Linked DNA regions of Rhinolophus ferrumequinum. The main gene of each other region encodes a partner of the protein of the gene in region 2 in a complex. Links are inferred from orthologs where the notes say so. Each region holds a gene or a part of one and is shown on either strand. Other genes may lie near its edges.

Evidence for each region. Proteins that work in one complex are often made in the same cells at the same time.
Region 1: the proteins of S1PR1 (region 2) and CD69 are in contact, whole or in part, in a cryo-EM structure (PDB 8G94), measured with the Homo sapiens proteins. The link is inferred for Rhinolophus ferrumequinum from reciprocal best matches to the Homo sapiens genes S1PR1 and CD69. Residues at the interface, in NP_001307659.1 of Homo sapiens: Asn157, Leu160, Phe161, Ile164, Ser165, Trp168, Val169, Leu172, Ile173, Gly176, Ile179, Met180, Gly181; in NP_001772.1 of Homo sapiens: Val41, Ala44, Val45, Val48, Val49, Thr52, Ile53, Ile56, Ile59, Ala60, Val63.

What each region holds. Positions count from the first base shown.
Region 1 is NC_046293.1:25,602,062-25,609,679, forward strand, and holds the start of CD69 (early activation antigen CD69), read right to left. Parts: upstream 3,012-7,618; 5' UTR 2,943-3,011; coding exon 2,879-2,942; intron 1-2,878. UniProt on the Homo sapiens protein: Transmembrane protein expressed mainly on T-cells resident in mucosa that plays an essential role in immune cell homeostasis.
Region 2 is NC_046305.1:36,520,360-36,528,046, reverse strand, and holds the start of S1PR1 (sphingosine 1-phosphate receptor 1), read right to left. Parts: upstream 3,003-7,687; 5' UTR 2,748-3,002; intron 2,294-2,747; 5' UTR 2,073-2,293; intron 542-2,072; 5' UTR 380-541; coding exon 1-379.

The DNA of each region.
Region 1 (7,618 bases), on a different chromosome or scaffold from region 2:
CATAGCAGCTTTATTTTTAAGAGCCAATTCCTAGAAATAACCCAAATGACCATCAGCAGGAAAAATGGATAAACACATTATGCTATATCCACACAAGGAAATTCTACTCAGTAACCAAAAAAAAAAAAAAAAAAGTTGATTGTAAAATATCCAACTACAGTTATACACTGTATATTTCAATTTATTTGACATTCAAGAATAGTTGTACTAAACTATGGTGACAGAAATCAGAAAAGTGATTGTTTTATGTGTGTAGCAAGGGTAGTTTGAGTGGAAAGGAACAGGGGAACTTTCTAGAGTGATGAAAATTTCAAATATTGATTGAAGTTGCAGTTGTAACTCATTAAATTACATTTGGAATCTATGCATCCCTTGTATGGAAATTCTACCTCAATTAAAAATGATATGTAAATGGATAAAATATTTGAATTTTTGAAGAGAAGCTAAAATAATAGAAGAAACATAACAATATTATAAACCAAATATTGGGTGGAAGTTTCATTTATCCTCTGTATAATGTTGAAACAAAGTAAGACTTTGATTTCACCAATAAGAAATATTTTTATAGAAGGATTTAGAATATGAATATAATGTGAATCACGAATCTTAGTCACACACACAAAAACTGGAAGAATATCTGTTTTAGAATATAAATAAATAATTGAGAAAGGAGAGAAGGGGATTTTGCGACTCAGAGTTTGAATTTCAGTTTTTGTTAGGATGAGCTATCAGGATTTTTACAATTTGCCGCACAAGAAATATAGAGTTCTCAATTGTGTTCTCTAAAAATGAAATGCAAAATTGCTACTTGAATGATATTAAGATTTACCATAAAAAAGCCTCACAATGCAAAAATATCTTGTCTTTCAGTATGGATGACTTTCATAATTAAAAGCATGTATCTTGAAACGCATGTATTTTTTGCCTTAAAACACTTCTCTAAAGTTAAACTGAGCAAAGAGATGTTGCTTTCTTTCATAGTAATTTACCATGTACTGGATCTCAGCATCAGCTTTTGCTTCTTCTGGGAATTGTCTTTCCTCGCGTAGATCTGCATTTAGATTTCCCAAGAGATGCCTTTACTTCCCTCCCACGTAGTTCTATTTCTTTCAGCTTCTCAAAACTAATCTTCCCTTTTTCACTGGTATACAATTGTCACCAGAAACAGACCTTGGTAGATAGGGTAGCAAGTTCGGAGCTCTTTATCTAGTTTCACTTCTCCTCATGCTGCTTAGACTCAATGCAGCTCTCATTCCTGAGCCAGTACTAACTCATACAAATACCTCATGTACTCCAAAGCCTACGTCAATTTGTTGGCTGACATTGCCCATTATCCAATGGGTAAACTGTGGGGATGATTCTCAGATTATATTTTATATCCATTAGTGAGGGCTATTGTTACTCAGTTTGATTTATCACCTAGGTGACAAAACACTCCCCCAACAGTATACTTCCGCTCTGATTATGGGCCTTGTCCATTAATGGAGAAATTGGAAATAAACCCACCCTTACATATTGAGTTACCAAAGGGTGATGCCTAATGATTGTCCATACAAATGAAGCAAGGGCAGCATAAACTAAGCATTCAATACAAAATTGGGATGATCTAAAGAAAAGTTAAGAATTCCTGAATTAGGTCATTCTTCTTTCAACTATGCCCTCTGTTTATTGAGTAGTTTTATTATTATAATTGTTGCTCTTTTTAGCAGCTCATCTGGGACATAAAGTTATGGTTACCTAATTACCAAAAAATTTGTGTGGCTTGCACTTGTTATCCACAAGTGATTTTGTGTTCTTAAGTTATAGATGGGTTTATTGGAGGTAATTGAAGCTTTTCTGATGCAAAGCAGTCTCGTAGACACATACTTCAAAAACAATGCCTTCCTCTAGATTGTTTCAGCTCTGCTGTTCATAACACATCCCTTTAATACTGTATAGCTTTCTTACAAATAAACTCCACTTCCTACATGCTAGGTTTGGGGGTACCTCAATAAGTAGAGAGGAAGAGGGATAAATGAAAAAAATCAAGGAAGTCTCACAGAAACAAGTTAAAGGAAAACAATGGAAAAATTTTGGTAATAAGAAATAGAACAGGTCTATGGATAGAATAGACAAATAGAAGAGAGGAAAAAGTATAGCATTGCTAAAATGATCATATTTTGATGAAAAATAAAAGAAAGAATAATGTCTCATTTATGCAGAATTTGAAGTCAGTGATTGGAAAGGTGAGAGAGAAGGATGAAATGGAACTAAAGAGTCCTGTAAGAATACAGAGGCAGAAAATGTCATTTTCAAGAATTGTTTCATGACATTCTCCTGATAAATTATTGTTGGACGCTGTACATGTTCAGATGCTCATATGGCTGCTTTCTCAAAGATTGGAAACCTTCATTTATAGCAACTGGAAAATGCTGTCATGAGAACGTAAGATAAGGCACACAGGAAACACACAAAGATACAAGGTGAAGGCAATCAAGAATGTAATTGTTTATGTGGAAAACAATTTTTGTGAAGAGAGGCAATGTTTCCTGGAGGAGTTGGATATGGAAAAATGATGGAGAGTGTACTGTGCAAGTACAGGGAATTTTCTAGTTAAATCTGAAAAATTGAGAAGGAATAAATGGAAACAAAGAAACAGATCTTTGAATATCTTCTAAAATTCTCCTTTCTGTTTCCCTCTATTCTCTGGAATCATATCTTCTCATATATGAAGAAATATATAATTCTTATCATTTTCTCTTTTATCCTGACTGAAATAGGATGTAACTAAGTTCTTGAAAAGACAAAGCCTCATTTTCTTCCCTAAGTATTGTTATATATCATCTGTATAGTTAGATAGGTAGTTATTACCAGTACATAAAAATAAGATCTGACTTACTTTGTTGTCCTCTCTCCAGATGCAAGGAGCTGTTCTCTGTTAGGGAACAATCTTCCGAATTCATCTTTATTCTAGTCAAGAATCTCTGGTTAATTTCAGGTAAAGCCAATCTACAATGAAAGTCTTTGCTGGAGCTCTTGCTCAGTGTCTGAGCCTCTGAAGAATCTGAGCATTTATAGTCAGTTATGTTTTCCCCACCCCCTTCCTCTTGCCTTCCAATCACTCAACTACTCCTGTTCGCTTTAATTTATGCTCTAGTGGCCCAGACAATTTACAATGTGTTGTTGTGGTGAGCTATGGGTTTTCCCTGCTGTCTGAAATATGCTTTCTCACAACTGTAGGTGTGGTATGCACAGACAGATGGGATTTTCCCGAATCGGTGACATCCTTCCTTAAATTTGTAGAAAACAAAACATAGTTATGAAGACAGCATATCTAAGTAAAGAATTAACAGTTAGGGATTCTTATCTTTGAGATGGAAATAATTTGGAGAGTAATATTTCCCTGGAATCCCATTCTTGCATTTATTTTACTAATATTTATTGAGCATCCACTATGACCCTGACACCGTTTGGGGCTAGATAATTTATCATTGAGTACAAATTTTAAGATCTCTATCCTCATGGATCTCTCTTCAGTGTGGAAGAGTTTTCTTAGGAAGCTATAAATTGGCTTTCAGAAGTTTGTCATTCACTTCTTCCCTGGGGACCAGTTCTTTTTTTTAAGGTATCATTTGGTAAGTAGCTGCTTTAGTGCAGGAAATAGAAACCCTGTGGTCTGGAACTTCCTTTCTATGTTCTAAAATTGTTTATCTTGAGTTATCTCTTTCATTTACCTCCTGTTAATTTTTTTCATACTTTACTGTCATTTAGATCACTCTTATTTCCCCTCAGTTGTATCTTATTCTGCTGTTTTTTCCCTATCTTCTGGATTATTTTTTTATACTATACCTCTGAAGTTTAAGACATTTGTATATAATTACTATAAAAATATATTGCCATGTCAATATCATCCAGATCAGTTATTAAGCTCAACACAAAGTGAATGTAGAACACCCACGTACGATGATTTAAGGAGGGGATCAAAATGTCACTCTGGTTAATAATCTTGGTATGAAAATTTTATCATTAAGATGATTTCTTTAGAGTAAAGACACTCTGTTTTCAGAATAAAGCCTTTGTGAAAATATTATGCTTAGCTGGATTGTAAATTATCATTTGTTATTAGTTAGTTAGGCCATCATATTTATTTGTTTACCTAAGACATGAAGAGGTACATGTTGGTCCCAAAGGCTTTCTTTGCTTCCGTTCTATTTTTCAGTCAATTTCCTAGAATGTTTTACAAATAGCAGCTAAAAGTTTTGTTATAATTAAATGAAATCATTTTGGTGAGATGTTCAACTCTTCCCCCTTCCATCCTCAAATGCTTCTTATCAAACCTTCTTATAGTTGAGGAGGTCCATGATCTGGCCCCTGGCTACCTCTCCTTCCATTTTTCCTATTGGCCGCTTCTCTCTCTAACAGTAACTTCTTTGCTGTCTGACAAAAATGCCAAGTATTCTCCCACTACAGGGTCTTTGCCTTTTCTCTAAAAGGTTCTTCCTTCATCTGCTTGTATGTCTTGCTCTCCCTTTAATTCAACTCACTGCCCAGAGAGGTCTTCCCTTGCCTTTTATATGTAAAATAGAACCTCATACTCTATGTCTCCACATACTATTATCCTTTTTTACCTCACTTGTCAATATCTGACATTATATTATTGCTTGTCATCTGTTTTCCTTATGAAACTATAAGCTGCTTGGGGGCAAGGCCTTTTTCTGACTTGTCCCATCTGTCCCTAACACCTGACGTAATAACTGGAACTTAGCATATACTCAGTACAAACTTGTTGAATGAGTGAATAAATAAATAAATATGAATTAATGAAAGAACATATATATATATAAACATAAAAGTTACAAAATATAGAGTGTTACTTGGAGAGGCTTGTGGGATTGTAGGGTTCAGAAAATATGACTTTGCAGTGTCACTGGATAGCAAGTGCACACTTGAGTACTGCTGATGAGTGCTGAAGGAGTTCAGTTTAGTACTTAACGGAATAGCTGATGCTTTTGCTAATTTCTTTGGGTTAAAGCAACTTAGATCTTTTAAGTGTTTATTTATCCTTCTACAGTTGGGAGATCTGGGTTCTTATCCACACTCTGACACTAATTTTGCACACTGTATTGTGAAGAATGCATGAGATAATATCTCTGCTATAAATCTGTAACATTTTTTTAAATCTTCCAAGTCTTGGGGTGGGGTGGAGTGGTGGGGAGGTGAGAGAGAGAGAGAGAGAGAGAGAGAGAGAGAGAGAGAGAGAGAGAGAGAGAGATAATCCTTATACACACTGACAATCCTTACCATGTGTTGTTGCCACATGCAAAGCAGGACTTTTCAGCAGCTGATTGGGCTAACATAGAAATCATGGTCCAGTTATACCATGTACTTTTTCCCGCTGATGATTCCCATGTAAGTGTGAAAATTAATTTTCTTAGCTGGACACAAACTAGCTTTGAAGTTTGAATATTCCAGAAAAGTTAGGCAGGTTAACTTAATGAAAATAGTACAGTTTTTACAGAGAGATAACCATCTCCCACAAATTTCCCTCTACTCCCTATATAGGCCAGCGATGTTGACCTTCATTCTATTCTTTGACAAAGCTAAACTTATTTTTATTTTATAGGGTGTTTTCTTGCTTTTGTTCTCCCTGCTCTCAGATTTTTCCAATTTTAGTATATATGCTGCCGAAGCGAGCACTGATTTTTCATAGCTAACTGTTCTTGTTTATATTCACTTCACATGTTCCACCTCACCAGAACTTTCCACCTGTATAAAACTTCCTATTAGTCACAATTTATTACCTCACTCTATTCTTTATAGAACATATCATCATTAGAAATCTTGTAGTTCATATATTTTATATATCTGTATTGATATGTATGTGTGTGTATATATATACATGTGTATATATAAAAATCATCATACACATGATGATTTTTAAAACCATATATATATATATATTTAAAACCACATATATATATTATACATATATATAATATATATATATGTGGTATATATATGTGTTTTTAAAAATCATCATTATTATTTATTTCCCTACCTAGAAAGTAAGGTCTTTAATGCAGGAGTATGGCCATGTTATTCAATAATGAATCTCTAGTACTTGTAATAGGGACTAGAACATAGGAGTTCAACGAGTAGTTGTTGGGTGGATACATGACACAATGTATGTGAATATCGACTCAAGCATTTGTTAACTGTGAGCTTTGGGAAACTAACACAGCTCCAGGGAACATTGGGTTTATCTGTAAATGAAACTATTAGTGTCCAATTTATACTTTTTTTGGTGAAGAAAACATTATAAATTAGAAAATTAGTTTTCTACCACAGTGACTGGTATATATTAGGTATATCTAATGATATGTAAAGAAATAGCAGTTTGATACAAGTCATGAAAAGGGAAAGTTCCTCATTTGATGTAGGGCACTAAGAGATAAAACTGAGAAGCCACAGCATAATTTCTGATATGGTGCAGCATGGCTCTAGTCTGCCTAGAATACAGACAGACAGAAGAAGCTGCAGTCTCCTACAACCACCTCTGACAGCTTTCATGAAATTAAGATACTTGCTTATGTGCTCAAGCTTTCTTGCTTCTTCAGCCCCAATCAGGTGGATAAATATTATATATATATATATATATATATATATATATATATATATATATATATATATGTATACCGGAGGTGCCAAAAAATGTATACACATGACTTGTATCCATCTTTTGTTCTCAGTATATATGGAGTATTACAATTTTAATACATTATTTTTCCTTTCTTAAAATGTGTATTTTCTTGGCACCCATTGGGCACAGAAACATATCTAGAGAACTTACTGTAAGAAAATAAATATCTTTAAACATTATTAAATTGATCAAAATCTGTTACCTTTGTTCTGAAATCATTTTTCTCTATCTGTCTTTATGGGAGCAGCCAAAGTATTTTGTTGAAATCAGCACTTGTGTAGTTGGGAGTAGGCAGACACTGCAAACATAAAAACCAGTCAAATTCTCAGGAATATATGTTATCAGTAGGCCTACTAGGTATCCACTGGCCCTCATGTGGTTCAAGTCCTCTACAATAGCCTAAACTTTATTTCAAAATGAATAAATTGTTCATTAATTCTCTCTTCTCTCCCACAGTCATTTTTCAAAGTGTAAGAAACCTCCCTTAGATTTGGGGAAGCAGTCAACTTTAATTCCTGTAAAGCTGTGAACAATAATAGGGGTTGCCCAACACGGCCCTGGATGACACCCGTTGTCCTGATATAATTATTAAAAGCATGTCATTTCACTTGCAAGAGTGTCTTTCTGTCACAATAATTTATATGCTCACATTACTAATCAGTGTTTGTTATATGAAAGGAAGCTATCTCTACGTGTGAAATTATACAGCAAATAGGACAAAGTAAAGTGTAGAGGGTCAGGAGGCAGTGTACGAGAGATTTTGGGGTCAGAGGGTTTTTCAATTGTCCCTTATTCATCTAAAAATGGAAACAAACTTCTTGTGTGGTCAGCCCTGATAGATTCAGTTCTCTAAAGCAAAGAAACACATGTATTGAACTGAAGAAACAAAACCAGTGCATATAAACTCTTTTCAATCTTCTTATAAAACACACGTGGCAA
Region 2 (7,687 bases):
CCACAAACATACTCCCTTCCCGCAGAAACCACTGGGCGGGGGTGAGCTTGTAGGTGTTGGCCCCAGAGAAAAGCAGGTTGACTGTGTAGGCCACTCCTGCCAACAGGTCTGAGAGGGCCAGGTTGCCAATAAAATAGTACATGGGTCGGTGGAATTTCTTGGTTTTCCAAATGGTCAGCAAGACAAAGATATTCTCTAGGATGATAAAGCAGCAGATGAGAATGAACACCGCTGAAGTCACTTTAATGCCGTTCTCCTTGTCTGCACCTATATTCAGCTTTCCCGTGTAGTTGTAATGCCGGATGATGATGTCATAATTGACATAGTCGGAGACAGAGCTGCGGAGGGTCTTGACCAGCGGGATGCTGGTGGACCCCATGGTGCGCAGTGTCTCCGGGAACCGGAGGTGCCGCTTCTCCAGCGAACGCTAGAGGGCGACGCGGAGAGAGCCTTCGCTTGCTATCAGGGGTGATTCAATGAGAGAAATCCAGGCTTTTCGCGTATCTTTTTCTTGGCTGGAGAGGGCCTCGGAAACCGCAGCCTTAAACAAGTTACAGAGAGAGTCAGGGAAAAGCCACGACACACTTGCACAATTCATTCTAGCTAAGGCATTGCCTCAGTTTTGTTGATTTGTTTTAAGGAAACGTGGGGAGAGGGATTTAAAAAAACAATCAAATTCTTATTTCTTGCCAAAAAAAAAAAAAGGAAGGGGAAGAAAGGGAAAAAAAAAAAACACAGAAATTTTATCCAAACTGAAACTCCAACTCGACAAGATGAAAACTTTCCCTATGGTTAAGTCCACTCAAATGGAAATGAGAAAAGTGGAGGGGCGAGCCCCATTGAACCCCACTCCCACCTTGTCACTGCCCCCCTATCCCCACCCCGACAAGTTTGCAGCGGGAGAGTCTCAGAAGCATTCAGCTCCTCAACGTGGAGGGGGTGGTGGCGGCTCTGTGGAGGAGACCCAAATGCCAATACAAGGGTGAAGCCACACACCTCTGCCCCACCGCCACCACCCAGCTGAATGAGACCAGACCCACTTAACTGCCTAGCAAGAAATTAGATTGTCACGAAAATCATTGACGGCATTAAGTCATTTTGGGGCTCTATTAATAACTCTGGAAGCAGGTGCGGTTAGGGTCCGAGGGTGCAGCGTGGTGTGAGCAGCCAAACCCTCCCTGGCCTTGTGGTAAACAAGAAAAGTTAGCGCCTCCGGAAAGCAACAGCCTTTTCTTTCTTCTTCTTTTTCTTGCAAGCCAGTGCAAGAACACATCAAGGTACCCAGTGAAAACCATTAATGAGATATTGCAATAAATCCCAGAAGTTCTCCTATACTCCTGGATTGCATAAGGAGTATTTTTAGTTGCTGTGGGTATAGCCAACACAAAAAGAGAAGTTACACCACTTACGATAACAATACCTGTCACTACATTCCTAATGCAAGGGCAAAACTACTCTGCAGAAACTCACATAAAAGGACAACTGGTGAATTTACTGCCCTCCCCCAACACGTTGCCTCTTCTAGACAGTGTGCACCGAATGCAACGTGGCCCTGGTTGGCAGAAGTCTATTTGTACGTTGTTTAAGTCTTTCAAAGTAATGCAGCAATGGAATAAAAGTGGAGTAATAAAGGCGAGAGCGATCCCACCAATTCCTGGAACAGCAGCGGCTGCTCACGACCAGAAGCTCCCCTGTTTCCCCATCTAATTCCACACCCTGCTCGCCGGCAGTGCAAATTTAAGCCCTAACACCCCCGTCCCATATTCTTTGTCTGTAGGATTTCCAAAAATAAGCGCCTTCCCTCCCTCCACTCCAACCAAGCGCAGCTTCCACTATCGTCCACCCCCAGTCGATTCTACAATTGGGACTTGACCTTTTCCCAAACTTCATAAATCACAAGTGCCCAAGAGCAATCCCACCGCGCTGGGTTCCTTAGTAGCCCAGAGACGCAAGTTTTCAGCGCCCAGAAATGGATGTTTTAAAAGTTTTTGTTTTGTTTCGTTCCGGTTTAACAATTCCTTTCGGACACTGAAGCCCTGCGGCCGCACGGCGCCCCAGCCCGCGTCCCCTACCTCGCTCAGGCGGGACGAAGTTGCGTTCGACGAGCTCCGGGTCTGCACTGAGCGCTCGTCATCTTGCTGCTGCCGGTGCCTGACAGTGTCGCTCTCTAAACTTACTGCAGTCGGGGTCCCCTCCCTCCGCAGCCGCAACTCCATTGGCCAGCCCCGCTCGCTGCGGCGCGCGCCGGCCCGCCAGCTGAAGTCGCAGAGCGCCCGCTGACGCTGGGTGGCTTCTTTAAGAAGAGGCGGGAAGAGGTTAAATGCTTCAAACTCCCACGCCCTCCGCCTGCGGCTGGGGGCCCCCGAATCTCCACTGCTGAGACTGTCCAGGAAAGATCTGGGGCAGAAACAAATAAAAGAACCCCTCCCCACCCCCAAGCAACAAAAAAAGAGAGAAGGGGGGAGGAGAGAGACAGACAGAGAGAGAGAGAGACAGAGACAGAGACAGAGACAGAGACAGAGACAGAGACCGAGAGACAGAGAATCAGAGAGACAGAGAGACAGAGTAGCCGGGTGCCCCCTGGACTCTAATGTATAAATCAGGGCGGGCGCCCAGCTGTCCGCCGCTCCGGGCGGTGGACACCACTCTCTCCAGCCTTGGGAAAGAGAAGACTTGGAGAGCCTTTAGAAAACTTTCTCCCGAAAAGTCCTAGGGGCCAGAGGACTGCCCAGCGTCTCGCAGCGCACCTCCCTGGTCCCCTTGGGGAATCAGGCGGCCCGGGGCCACTTCTGCTCAGGCAGGGGAAACAGGAGCCCTGCCTTTCTCTGAGGAAAAGGCTGAGAAGGGGCTGCAGGAGGTTTGCGCGAGGCAAGCAGCCACAGTGGGAGAATAGCCGGAGAGGTTCCTCCACTGCTCCCCACCTCCACGCCCACCCCCATGCCGCTGCAGCCTGGAAACTTGCGATCTGAGGGACAGAAAGTGGCTTTCCCCGAGGGCACGGTGAAATGGACCGGTGCCGGGAGATGTGTTGGGCGGGTGTTCTCCTCCCTCGACTGGGCGCCAAGTCAGGCAGTTGCCCCAGATTCTAGCCAGTGGTGAGAGGCCTTTGAGGAGGTGGACAGTTGCTGGGTCCTGAGAGATTTTTGAAACCTTGTGCAGCTCAGGAAGTTCCAAAGGGGAAGAGCCACAGGGCCCAGCCCAGCTGGGGCGTGAGCCTTTTTTCCCCTTTATTAGGGAGGCGCCCCCAAACCTTCATGCTCAAAACTCGCCCACTCTTTCCTTTCGCTTAGATGCTACTTCGGAATGTGAGAATGAGAGGTGGCCTTGGTCAGCTCCCCTCCAGTGACAAGCTCAAAGCACTTCTGCCCTGCCTTAATGGGCAAAGACGTTTCCACCTAGTACCTTGGCTTCCTATCCCTTGCAGATGTGAACGCAAAACTTCGTTGTGCAGTTTCAATTGACACACACCCTGTATCTGAATGACTCAGAAGGAGTCTGCGTGAATAAACAGACCCCAGACTTCTGGGATCTTATGAGTTTGCAAAAGAAAAAATCAAGTGTCAGTTAATTCACAGCTGTCTGAAAGCCCTCATCAACGACCCAGCACATACCCACAAATACAACAAAAGTGCATGCAACTAGCCCGTGCATACAAACAAAGATCACAGACTCTAGGCTGAATTCTGATTGGGTTTGAGGATTTAATTCATTTGCAAGGGGAGATATGTTGCGTCAACCCAGCACAACACACCCCGTGGGACTTGTCAAACTCCACCCCATCCACTAATTTTATGAGTTCTTTAAAGGGAAAGGAATGAAAGTGAATTGCATACCCAGACTATATCAGGCGGCAGATAGATGATCTAATTTAACACTACTATTCTGAAGTAGCCATTGTAGGTCATTTTATTGATTAAGGGAAATGTCACTCAGACAGCTTAGCTAGATATCCTAGCTAGTGAGTGGCAGAGCAGGGTTCCAAACCTTAACTACTGCGGATGCCAGGACTCCCAGGTCACACTCCTTCAGTCAATAAACAGGGAATTGAAAGCTATGTTCCTGAAGGGAAACAAACCTCTAGCTTTACAGTTTTAAATTTGTACTAATTTCTTGACAATATATGTCTACAAAATGTATACAAAGATATGCTAATGAATGTCCTTTTAAAAACCACTTATTTCCTGATACAAAACACTTGCTTGTAAAACTTGCAACAAAAGTATACTAATGAATGTCCTTTTTTATTTACCATGAAGCATTTTCTCTTTGCTGAAATGTTTTACTAAATGTTATTTTAATTTTGATCACCTTTTTTATTATTAAGACTTTATTATTTTTTTTTTTTTAGAGAAGCTTTAGGTTTACAATAAAATTGACTGGAAAGGTACAGAGGTTTCCCGTATATCTTGTGCCTCCACACATGCGTAGTCTCCCCCTTATCAACATCACTTATTAGAGGGGTACATTTATTGCAATTGATGAACCTACATTACCACATCATTATCACCCAAAGTCCATAGTTTACCTTAGGGTTCATTATTGGGGTTGTACATTCTATGGATTTGGACAAATGTATAATGACATGTATCCAGCATTATGATATCATGCAAAATATTTTCACTGCCCTAAAAATCCTCTGTGTTCTGCCTACTTATCTATCCCACCCCCATGAATGCCTTTTTAAAACCACTGATTTCTTGACTATATACTCGTATGTATATAAAGTGTATACAAAGGTAGACTAGTGAATTTTTATAAAACCTCTCATTATCTACCTATAATATTTAATGTAAGAGTGTACTTCTAATATATGTGTACTAGATTCTAAGTGTTACACATATTTACTCATTTAATCATTATAATAACCTTATAAGTTAAGTATTATTCTTACCCTAATTTTACAAACAAGGAAACTGAGTCCCAGACATATTAAGCATCTTGGTTAATATGGGCTATGACCATAAATGGGCTACAGATTCTTAACCACTACTCCAAACCACCACGTTAAACCTCAAACATGTCAAAGAACTACATCAGCTAAGTCAGTCCTTTTCTTATGAATACGGTTGGGGAGAACAACATTTAAGATTGATCCAATGTTTCAAAGAGCTCAAATACTTTGTAGATGATTATTTAGTAACACGCGTCCTTAGTACACACCTAGGAGATATAAAGTGTAGATGACCACTCAGGCAAAATTAGAAAGGAGGCAAAGCTATTTGCAGAGATGGTTTCCCTGCCAATTCCAAACCACGGGGTCCCACACATTTCTTCCCATTACTTGCAGGAGTGGCCCTAAGAATTGCATCCTCAAGTTATCTCCTGGCTGCTAGCCTAGCTCCCTGTCCACGGTTGCCTGGAAGCCAAGCCCAACGTTTCTAGCTTATTTCCTATGGTATTGAGATTACTATTTGATTATGCAGTGACACTGAGGTTGCTCCATTCCAAATTTCTGATTGCAAAGCAGATTTGCTATTCTTTGGTGTCTTTGCACATTGTTCTTTGCTTGCTTTGATGTTTCTCTAAGCGTTGCCAGAGAAAATACCATACAATATTTGGGACTTATACTAATATGCATACATACTGAGGGTGCCAAAAAAATGTTTGCAAGTAGACACTTTTGTCAATGTTGCTCAAGCAGTAGTTTACCATAATCAGAAGTGCTGATGGTAACCACTTTGAGAAACTCTTGTAATTGCAGATGTCAAACATGACTTGTATTCATCTTTTGTTATTGGTATATATTGAGTGTTACAATTTTAGTACCATTTTCCTTTCTTAAGATGTGTATACATTTTTTTTTGGAGATATATATATGTCTATATATATATATATCTATATATATGTCTATATATATGTCTATATATACACATTTGTTGTTTATCTGCAATTTAAATTTAACTGCGTGAGCTGTATTTTTATTTGCTAAATCTGGTAACGCTGCTCTTTTTCCTAAATGCTCTAGTAATGTTCCAACTTCCTCTCCTCCCCGCAACCCCCTGTAAAGAGCCAATGCTCCCCTTACTCATTTATTCACAGGAGAATAACTAGCCTCCTACTTCGCAGAAAAACCATTATCACCACTTCAATTTCCCTCCTCTCCAACTTCTAGCTTAAAAATGTCACCCACTCTTACCTCCTTCCACAGTTTTACTCCTTCCCAGGGCGAACTCTTGTACATATCACCATGCTCCTCCCCACAAACTTTCTAAGGCTCAGCTCAATTATTCCTCCTCTCTCTTGTATTTTCAATTCTTGGCCTCTTGTGACTCTTTACCTTCAACTTATGTTACTATCTTTGCATTTCCTCTGTCAAAAACTCGCTGTCTTCCCCTTGTACTAGGTGCCAATATAAATCTCTCTCTCTTCTCCTGTTTGCCAACATTCAAAACTACATAGTGGAACGTGTCCGACTTGGGTTCAGCCTTAATACTGCCAATTCCCAGCGTGACTTTCAGCAAGTTCTTTGAACTTCCTTGAGCCTTAGTTCCCTCATCTCTAAAATGGTATAATGATATTTCTCTCTTTCAGTCATTGGGAGGAATAAAGAGCTTCATATGTATAACAAACCCTGTACAGCATAGAGTAAATGCTTCACTCTCCCCCTACCTCTATCTCTAACTCTATTATACTCATTGCTTTCAATGCCTCAGTTTCCCTTCACTCCCATTTTGATTTTCAAATAAAATTATTTTAATCAAATTGTTACATGCACATGGTTTAAAAATCAAGTAGTATAAAACTTGCAAGAAAGAACATGAGTCAATCCTCAGAGGCCCCCTGGTCCTCTAATTCTCCCAAGTACTTTGAAGTCTTATTGATGTTTCTTCTGGTGGTTACTTGAAAATCTTAAAATCCCCTGTTTTATACCTCTGTTTCTTGATTATCAATTTTAAACAGCATCTATAGATTTTCTGCCATGTGGAAAGAGTATTAATTCACTTATCCTTAAAAAAAACATGCTTGTATTATAAACTTTCTAAATCTTTGCATGTCTGACATTTTAAAAACTCACTGTTTACACTTGACTCATATTTTGGCTGAATATAGAGTTATACTTTATAATTTTCTTGGGGAATTTTGAAGACAGTGCTCCTTTTTCCTTTAATTTCTGGTGCTACTGATACAAAGCCTAAAGCTCTTCTGATTCCAAAACTTTACATATGACTACTTTTTTCTTTTCTGAACATTTTTAGAATTTTCTTTCCCCATAGTGTTCCAGGATTATACAATGATATGTATTGATTTTCCAAGCTCCCTCATACACACACTGACCCTTTACAGTGTGGGAAATCATCTGAAATTACGAGATGTGATCAAATAATACGGTGAATGTTCAACTTTAAAAAAATTATTACAGTAAAAGACACATTGCCATAATCCCTCTCAAAATACCCTGCCTCCCTACTCTGAACACACTTATTGCATTATTCTTGCCGCTTTCTGAAGGAGTTTTGGAAGTCCTCTTTTGTGAGTGTCTTTAGTTGCACTGTCATGGCTGCCTTGATGTCCTGAATCAATTCAAAACATTTACCTTTCATGGTCATTTTGACTTTGGGGAACAGCCAGAAGTAGCACAGTGCAAGATCTGATGAATAAGGTGGATGAGAACACACCATAATGTTTTTATTTGACAGAAATTGCCTTATACCAGAAGCAATATGTGACATGGAGCCTTTCCATTGTG